2 linked regions of the Macaca fascicularis genome follow. The protein of the gene in region 1 binds, or shares a complex with, the protein of each later gene. Links are inferred from orthologs where the notes say so. Each region holds a gene or a part of one and is shown on either strand. Other genes may lie near its edges.

Evidence for each region.
Region 2: the proteins of CCNT1 (region 1) and CDK9 are in contact, whole or in part, in a crystal structure (PDB 3BLH), measured with the Homo sapiens proteins. The link is inferred for Macaca fascicularis from reciprocal best matches to the Homo sapiens genes CCNT1 and CDK9. Residues at the interface, in NP_001231.2 of Homo sapiens: Arg5, Lys6, Arg11, Trp12, Arg26, Ile72, Gln73, Phe78, Phe89, Leu90, Lys93, Val94, Pro98, Lys99, Lys100, Leu101, Val134, Glu137, Ile139, Leu141, Gln142, Thr143, Gly145, Phe146, Glu147, Leu148, Thr149; in NP_001252.1 of Homo sapiens: Val8, Glu9, Cys10, Pro11, Phe12, Cys13, Lys56, Glu57, Gly58, Phe59, Ile61, Leu64, Ile67, Lys68, Gln71, Leu72, Leu81, Ile82, Glu83, Ile84, Arg86, Ile99.

What each region holds. Positions count from the first base shown.
Region 1 is NC_088385.1:55,529,675-55,533,920, forward strand, and holds the start of CCNT1 (cyclin-T1), read right to left. Parts: upstream 2,863-4,246; 5' UTR 2,805-2,862; coding exon 2,644-2,804; intron 1-2,643. UniProt on the Homo sapiens protein: Regulatory subunit of the cyclin-dependent kinase pair (CDK9/cyclin-T1) complex, also called positive transcription elongation factor B (P-TEFb), which facilitates the transition from abortive to productive elongation by phosphorylating the CTD (C-terminal domain) of the large subunit of RNA polymerase II (RNA Pol II).
Region 2 is NC_088389.1:16,210,930-16,215,495, reverse strand, and holds the start of CDK9 (cyclin-dependent kinase 9), read left to right. Parts: upstream 1-1,617; 5' UTR 1,618-1,732; coding exon 1,733-1,824; intron 1,825-2,285; coding exon 2,286-2,367; intron 2,368-3,104; coding exon 3,105-3,195; intron 3,196-3,533; coding exon 3,534-3,700; intron 3,701-3,800; coding exon 3,801-3,972; intron 3,973-4,130; coding exon 4,131-4,279; intron 4,280-4,566. UniProt on the Homo sapiens protein: Protein kinase involved in the regulation of transcription.

The sequences.
Region 1 (4,246 bases):
AAAAATAGAAAATTAGCTGGGCGTGGTGGGGCATGCCTGTAATCCCAGCTACTCGGGAGGTTGAGGCAGGAGAATCGCTTGAAACGGGAGGCGGAGGTTGCGGAGAGCCAAGATCACACCATTGCACTCCAGCCTGGGCAACAAGAACAAAACTCCACCTCCAAAAAAAAAAAAAAAACCAATTTATAAGGCCTGGCTGGGCACGGTGGTTCACACCTGTAATCCCAGGACTTTGGGTAGAGGCAGAGGCAGGTGGATCACCTGAGGTCAGGAGTTTGAGACCAGTTTGGGCAACATGGCGAAACCCCTCCTTGACTAAAAACACAAAAATTAGCCAGGCATGGTGGCAGATATCTATAATCTAATATGATTTACAGCGCCCACCCTGATCTGGCCCATAGGTATGTCTCCACTACCTCTCTCACCTGCTAAACTCCATCAACTAAATTACTTTCTTTTTTTTTTTTTCAGACAGAGTCTCGTTCTGTCACCCAGGCTGAGTGCAGTGGCACAACCTCAGCTCGCTGAAACCTTCACCTCCTGGGATCAAGCAATTCTCCTGCCTCAGCCTCCCAAGTAGCTGGGACTACCGGCTGGGCCACCATGCCTGGCTAATTTTTGTATTTTTAGTAGAGATGGGGTTTCACCTTGTTGGCCAGGCTGGTGTCGAACTCCTGACCTCAAGTGATCCGCCCGCCTCAGTCTCCCAAAGTGCTGGGATTACAGGCATGAGCCACCACAATCGGCCTAAATTATTTTCAGTTCCACTTCTCTCTGGCAACCAAGCCTTCTCATGTGGTGATCCACGGGACAGGAAACATCTGAAATGATCTGATAATTCATTAACTGAAGAAGAAGAAAAAACTTGTAAATGCCTTACTTCTAAAAACTTCAGTAGACAATATGGGGTAGAGAGATGATGCAGTCCCAAATTACAACAGCCTTTTTTTGAGGGGGCAGAGTCTCGCTCTGTCGCCCAGGCTGGAGTGCACTGGTACCATCTTGGCTCACTGAAACCTCTGCCTCCCAAATTCGAGCGATTCTCCTGCCTCAGCTTCCCCAGTAGCTGAGATTATAGGCACTCGCCACCAAACATGGCTAATTTTTGTATTTTTAGTAGGGACGGGGTTTCACCATTTTGGCCAGGCTGGTCTTGAAGTCCTGGCCTCAAGTGATCGACCCGCCTGGGCCTCCCAAAGTGCTGGTATTACAGGTGCGAGCCACCGCGCCTGGCTGACAACCTTAATGACAACACACATACAAAAAGGAAAGCGTTTTAAGGATACACTGAAATAGAATTTCGAACAAAAAGATTTACTCCGTACTGATAGGATGCTTAGGAAACACATCTGGACATCAGCAGGAAACAAACTGGCGATAAAAAAGACACCCATTTTGAGATGCACACACCCTTAAGATACAAACATTACTGTCAGCCACACATTTAAATAGAAGCTGCACCCAAGAAAATTTTCATACACAGAGTGGAAAGAACTTTAAAACTATACAAGTTTTCTCCACCACAAAATAAGTATATTTCCTGACAAACAAAAATATGTGGGAGAGGATACCTCATTTTTTTTTTAATTTTTTTTTCTGAGACGGAGTTTCACTATTGTTGCCCAAGCTGGAGTGTAGTGGCGCGATCTCGGCTCACTGCAACCTCCGCCTCCCGGGTTCAAGCGATTCTCCTGCCTCAGCCTCCTGACTAGCTGGGATTACAGCTGCCCGCCACTAAGCCGGGGTAATTTTTTGTATTTTTAGTAGACAGGGGTTTAATTATGTTGGCCAGGCTGGTCTCGAACTCCTGACCTCAGGTGATCCACCCGCCTCGGCCTCCCAGAAGTGCAGAGATTACAGGTGTGAGCCACCGCACCCGGCCGTTACCTCATTTTTGAAATAGAAAGAAAATGAAATACACACCACCACTCTAAGTAACTTAAGGACCCAGTATTTTGTAAACGATTTAAAACATTAGATTCGTGGGTAACCCCTACAAACGTAAACTAACATCTTTCCTCTGAAATTCTATAAAACAGCAGCTACTAATTGAGCATCTTAATGCAAAGCATTGTGATGGACACAGAATCAAACACAAGAGGTATCATCCCATTTTATAGACAAGACGACCAAGAATTTGACAGGTCACTTAAACAGCTAGCAGATGAGGAATGGATTTTGGACCAAGGCTGAGGCATTAATTCTAGACCACCCTTTATAAGACTTTCAGGTACTGAATTTCTCGAAATTTACACACTAGGTTTCGGAAGCAGCCCTCAACAGAGAAACCTCTGCCAGACCCAAACCCCTAGGGCACAGCGGAAAATGAGAAACTTAACGTCACCAGAGCCGATCAGAACACAATGAAGAGAGAGTTGGAAGGGCTGGTTAAAACACGAAGCCGGGAAGGATACGAATGCCCAGCAAGGTTGGTGGCACGGGTGAGCGAGCGGGAAATCAACTCCGCCTCGCTTCCCTAGCGCGAACTGAGTTTCAGCCCGCCCCATCGTGGGCTCTCCCAACTAGACATCCAGCTTCTGCCCACCTTCTTCCCCACTTTCGTCCCCCACCAGAGCCTGAGACCTAGACGCCAGAGCATGGCGGGACCAACTCAAAGGCCGAAGGCCTAGGCCGCAAGGATACACGTTAAGACGCTGCCCCATGTCCTGGAGCAGATTGGCCGCCTGCTGGCGATAAGAAAGTTCTTTATCTGGGTCCACACCAAATCGACGGGATGGGCTATTTTCCAGCTGTTCTCGAGTGAAATACCACCGTTTGTTGTTGTTCTTCCTGTCTCCCTCCATAATGCTTCAACCAGAAGGCAGCGGCGGAGGCTGCAAACACTTCCCAGCGTCACCTAAGTAGCGACCCACATCCGCTGTGCGGGGGCAACTGCGACTTGACGAACTTCCGCTAAGCGTCGACCGCCGGGTTGTGACTCTCTTCCGTAAAGAAAGCAAAAGTCAAAGGACCTACTTCCGGAATGCACCTCGCGACACCCCGTAGCCGAGTTAACAGCCAATATGCGACGAGAAAAAAACCTTGAGGCGAGGACGCAGGCGCGTCACGTGACCCTTGGGAGGTGGCGTGGGCTTAGAAGTTCTCGCTTAAAAACCATGAATCTTCCCGCGAGAACCGGATTGAGCGTTGGCGCCCGGGGTTAGGTTGTGAGGTCGCAATTGTAGTGGTATGAGGCGCCCGCCCACGCGCCGCTTGGTGGTTCTTAGGAGAACTTAGTTTGTGACTGCAGTGGTGATATAAAATGGGGCAGATGGACCGCGCGCGGTGGTTCACGTCGGTAATCTCAGCACTTTGGGAGCCCGAAGCAGGCGGATCACGAGGTCAGGAGTTCGAGACCAGCCTGGTCAATATGGCGAAACCCTGGTCTCTACTAAAAATACAAAATTAGCCGGGCGTGGTGGCGTGCGCCTGTAGTCCCAGGAACTCGGGAAGCTGAGGCAGGAGAATCGCTTGAACCCGGGAGACGGAGGTCGCAGTGAGCCGAGATCGCGCCACTGCACCCCAGCCTCCAGCCTGGGTGACAAAGCGAGACTCCGTCTAAAAAATAAATAAAATAAAAATGGGGCAGATGAACTTGAAAGAGAAAGTAGGTGAGGTTGTCAGAAACTGAAAAACAGAATCAAATGGTGGGGCTCTTTCGTATATGGGAACATAAAGCAACTAGAAGGCTGTTACATTGTTGGTAGCAATGTAAAATACGACAACCCATTTGGAGAGGTCGCTTTAATGTGTAGCCAAATTCATGAAAACATTCTCACGTTTCGCCGCAGTGATCCAACTTAAAGGAATAAAATGAAATTAATAACATTAAGAGCTTACATGTCCCATGCACAATACTGACTTAAATATACTGTTTCATTTATTCAGCGGAACTCTCAAGAGGTAATTTTTAAGTACGTTTGCTAATGGGTGAACTAATACTGCCCCTTGAGTGTGAAAAGCCTCCACCACTACCCCTCACTTGCAGAGATTAGCAAATTCCTGCCCTCTGTCAAGATATTTCCCAGCTCCTTTGCCGGCGCGGTGGCTCACGCCTGTAATCCCAGCAGTTTGGGAGGCCAAGGCGGGCGGATCACCTGAAGTCCGGAGTTGGAGACCAGCCTGGCCAACATGGTGAAACCTCGTCTCTACTGAAAATACAAAAATTAGCCAAGTGTGGTGGCGCACGCCTGTAATCCCAGCTACTCGGGAGGCTGAGGCAGGAGAATGATTTGAACCCGGGAGG
Region 2 (4,566 bases), on another chromosome or scaffold:
GCCACAGCCTGGGAGGTGGGGTGTGAACTGGAAAGAGCTTCCAATGTCACATTCAGGTTCTTCGGGGACAGAGAGGCCAGACTGGGGGGCCAGGTCTCAGGATCCACCCGCAGAGGGCTGGAGAGGAGGGGGCAGATTGAAGCGGGGCAAAGGAGGCAGAAAAGACGGCTTTGCCGGAGGCTGTCCTTGGGCAGAGCTGGAGGGGGAATCTGGGGGCCGCTGGAGCCAGGAAGATGCAGGCGAAGGGATGGGCGCGATGGGGGAGGGAGATGGGGGGGTGAGTGGTGAGCTCCCGCCTGCATAAGGACAGCAAGCCTCCCCAGTGCTCTCCTCCTGGCCCAACCACGGATAGCCTGAGTCAAGAGAATCCCCTTCACAGTCAGACACCCAGCTTTGTCGCCGTGTGACCTTGGGCAAATGACCTCACCTCTGAGCCTCAATGTCCTCTTCTGCAAAATGGGTTAGTGATCCTGACTATGGGGCTGTTGATTCAGGATTCGGCGGGAACGCCCAGCACTTCCTGAGCACACAAAGAGTGCTGAGAAAATGGTAGCTGTTTTTTGCGATTATTGACCCGGGGCCTGATCAGCTCTGGCGCGACTCGGCGAAGGCGCGAGTCCTGCGGGTCCCATCCCTGCCTCCTGGAGAGCCAGGCTCCAGCGATAGAAGGCCCGGGCGTTGCTTGCTCGTCGCCTCCAGTGCCGCCGCGCCCCCTGGCGGCCGTCGGTTGCCATGTCAACGGAGGGTGGCGGGGACCGGGGGAGGCGGAGGCGGGGGCCGTTTTCTCCTCCCAGGGCCGGAGGACGCTCCCTCCGCGCCTCCCGCCTTCGCCTCTTGGGGGGGCACTCCGAGCCGGGGAGGAAGGGGCTCTCCGCGGCAGCCGGCATGTGGGGGTAAACTGAGGCACGCGGCTGGGCGCCCGCAGCCAGGTGCCGAGCGCGGGGCCCCACCTCCGAAGGCGGAGGAGGGGCCGCGGGCGGTGACGCGCCGAGGGCGGCCGGCGGACAGCGAGCGGGCGGGCGGGCGGGCGGTGGCGGCGGCGGCAGGTGCGGCCGCGGAGGGTGGGAGGGAGGAGGGCGGGGGCGGGCGGAGGAGGAGGGGAAGGCGAGGCCGGGCACCTCCCCCTTTATAACGCGCCCCCTCCCGGGCTCTCGGGCCGTCTCCTAGTCGGCTCTTCCCGTCTCGCCCCCTCGCCCGGCCGCCCCGGGCCCGGGCCCGGCCAGGGAGCCCCCAGGCCGCGGCTCGGGGGCTGCCCCCCCGCCCGCCGCCCCGCGCAGCCCGGCGGAGGCGGCGCCGTCGGAGGAGGAGGAGCAGGGCACTGCGGCTGGCCCCGGATCGGGCGCCAGAGCGGCAGCAGCTTCGGCAGCAGCGGCGGCCCGGGCCCATGCAGCGGGACGCGCCACCCCGAGCCCCAGCTCCGGCGCCCCGGCTCCCCGCGCCCCCGATCGGGGCCGCCGCCAGTAGTGGCGGCGGCGGAGGCGGGGGCAGCGGCGGCGGCGGAGGCGCCTCTGCAGCTCCGGCTCCCCCTGGCCTCTCGGGAACTACAAGTCCCAGGGGGCCTGGCGGCGGGCGGCGGGCGGAAGAGGCGGGGTCGGCGCCGCGAGGCCGGAAGTGGCCGTGGAGGCGGAAGTGGCGCGGCCGCGGAGGGGCCTGGAGCGCGGCGGCGGCGGGACCCGGAGCGGGAGCGGCAGCAGCAGCGGCTGGGGGCGGCGGCGGCGCGTTGGAGGCGGCCATGGCAAAGCAGTACGACTCGGTGGAGTGCCCCTTTTGTGATGAAGTTTCCAAATACGAGAAGCTCGCCAAGATCGGCCAAGGCACCTTCGGGTAAGGCTGGGCCCCTCGGGGCCGGGAGCCGTGGGCCTGCACCCCTAGGGCGGACGTCGGGATGCCCCGGGCCCCGCCCGAGTTGGTAGAGAAACCGTCTGTCCCCGGGCTTGCCCACTGGTCTTTAGGCCGCGCCGCACCCCGCCCCGGCCTGAAGGAGCCGGCTGGTGGGGAGGAGCCTGAGGCCGGTGGTGGGGGCGGGGAGGGGCTGCAGAGAGGCGCCCGTGAGGGGAACGGGATCTCTCCAAGAGACGCCCAAGTGAGGAGAAGGGACTGAGAGAAGGAAGCAGAAGCTCCGAACGAGACAGGGTGCCGGGTGGCGGGGTAGCCGCGTGCCCTGGGTACTTACCCCAGCCCCGCCCGGGAATCTTTTTGCTGCTGCCCCTCCTCCGGTAGTGGGGGAGGGGCGGGCCCTGCGGAAATCGCCTGATGAGCTCTCGGGTCTCCCTTTCCGCCTGCAGGGAGGTGTTTAAGGCCAGGCACCGCAAGACCGGCCAGAAGGTGGCTCTGAAGAAGGTGCTGATGGAAAACGAGAAGGAGGGGGTGAGTACGGATCGGGCGTGCGGGCCAGCCGTCTAACTGCCCAGGACCCCGGGTCGGTTTTCCACCCTGCTGCTTCTAGGAGTCTCAGGTTGAGATTTAATTTTTTTCGTAGTAGTTCAGAAATTTCCAGGGAATTTGGCCTCCACCCTAAAACTAAATGCTTCATTCTTAGGCAGTTATGGGTGAGACCGGGAGGGGGAGTTGATGCATGCATCGTGTGCACTTTAGTTCACGAAGTTAGGAAGCCTTTAAACACCTTTTTTTAGTGTTAAATTTTGCTTAATGTTAAAGAAAGATACATATGCATGCAAATTTTTGAAAAGTGACTAATACTCAGTTATTTAATGTGTTTAAAAGGAGCGGTCCCTCCACCCCATCTTAGCTCAAGTACAACGTCCCATAAACCTTCCTTTTCCTGATGTGCTTTAGCGAGGACATTTTTGAATCGTCATGTTTGTTGCCAACGAAACAGCCATAGAGCTGAAGTTTGAAGGCTGAAACCGCCGAGCATTTAGTGGCTAATAGCAAAGTATTGCTGTTTCAGTTTGTTGTCTCAAATTATCTCCTTGAAGTGTGCATGCTCCTACTATATCCATTTTACAGGCAGAGCTTCTGAGACAGCTGGTTTCAGAGCCCATGATCTTGCTCTGTCTCCCAACTTGCCTCTCAATATAGACCCCAGGGCTGGGCTCTGTACTGCGCTCACTCTTGACCACTTTCCCCTCTCTCCCACCCAGTTCCCCATTACCGCCTTGCGGGAGATCAAGATCCTTCAACTTCTAAAACATGAGAATGTGGTCAACTTGATTGAGATTTGTCGAACCAAAGGTAAGTTGTTTGGATCTTATGAGGAGATGACACTTGTAGCCTAAGGTTTTGTTCGTAAAGTTGGAACTAGACCCACCTAAACTGCCTCCTCTTAACTCAGATGGACCCATGGTGACTGCTTTCTCTGGTCCTCTTTCATCGTAGCTGGTGCTTCCTCGGGGTCTGCCCTGGCCCAGAAGAGGCACTCAGAAAATATTTGACCAGTGAAGGAAGGAACAGACAGATGCTCTGGAGGGCTTGGGTGCCCATGGGTTGGAGCAGGAAGAAAGAAACTGGTTGTGGGAAAGTGTGTTGGGTGTGGCTTTCTTGACTTTTTCTTCCTTGTATTCCTGCCTCAGCTTCACCCTATAACCGCTGCAAGGGCAGTATATACCTGGTGTTCGACTTCTGCGAGCATGACCTTGCTGGGCTGTTGAGCAATGTTTTGGTCAAGTTCACGCTGTCTGAGATCAAGAGGGTGATGCAGATGCTCCTTAACGGCCTCTACTATATCCACAGGAACAAGGTGGGGGCGAGAGCTGGGAGGAGGACCCAGGCTTGGGCTGGCCTTGGCTCCCACTCCCGGGTGGATATCACTGAAGGAGCCACTCTTGCCCTTCTTGCAGATCCTGCATAGGGACATGAAGGCTGCTAACGTGCTTATCACTCGTGACGGGGTCCTGAAGCTGGCAGACTTTGGGCTGGCCCGGGCCTTCAGCCTGGCTAAGAACAGCCAGCCCAACCGCTACACCAACCGTGTGGTGACACTCTGGTACCGGCCCCCGGAGCTGTTGCTCGGTGAGGACTCCCGAGCGGGCCGAGGGGGGTGAGGGCCAGGCATCTACCTGGCCCCCGCCCCCCCACTGCCAGGGCTTCTTGAGCTGCCGGCCCTGGGGCATTGAGTCTCAGGAGGCCTCCGGGCTCAAGGGGCCCTCCTGGTGCGCTCTTCTTCCCAGGGGAGCGGGACTACGGCCCCCCCATTGACCTGTGGGGTGCTGGGTGCATCATGGCAGAGATGTGGACCCGCAGCCCCATCATGCAGGGCAACACGGAGCAGCACCAACTCGCCCTCATCAGTCAGCTCTGCGGCTCCATCACCCCTGAGGTACGGGGTCCCGGTCCCCCGGCAGAGGAGTGGGGAGTGGAATGGAGGGAGCGCTCCTCTCTGGAAGGGAGGCTGGTTTGGTGACAGGGCCTGCCCTTGAGAGCCACACAGGCTATGCGCCAGTCTTGGTTCCATCAGCCATTCTGTGGCCTTGGGCAGAACAACTGAGTCAGCGCTGGGTTTCTCTTCTGTGAACCAGAAATGGGACGTATATCAGGGTTGGGCCTGGCATGTGGTATGTGCCAATCTGTGGCGGGCACTGCTTCTCTTGGGAGGGGTCGAGTTCT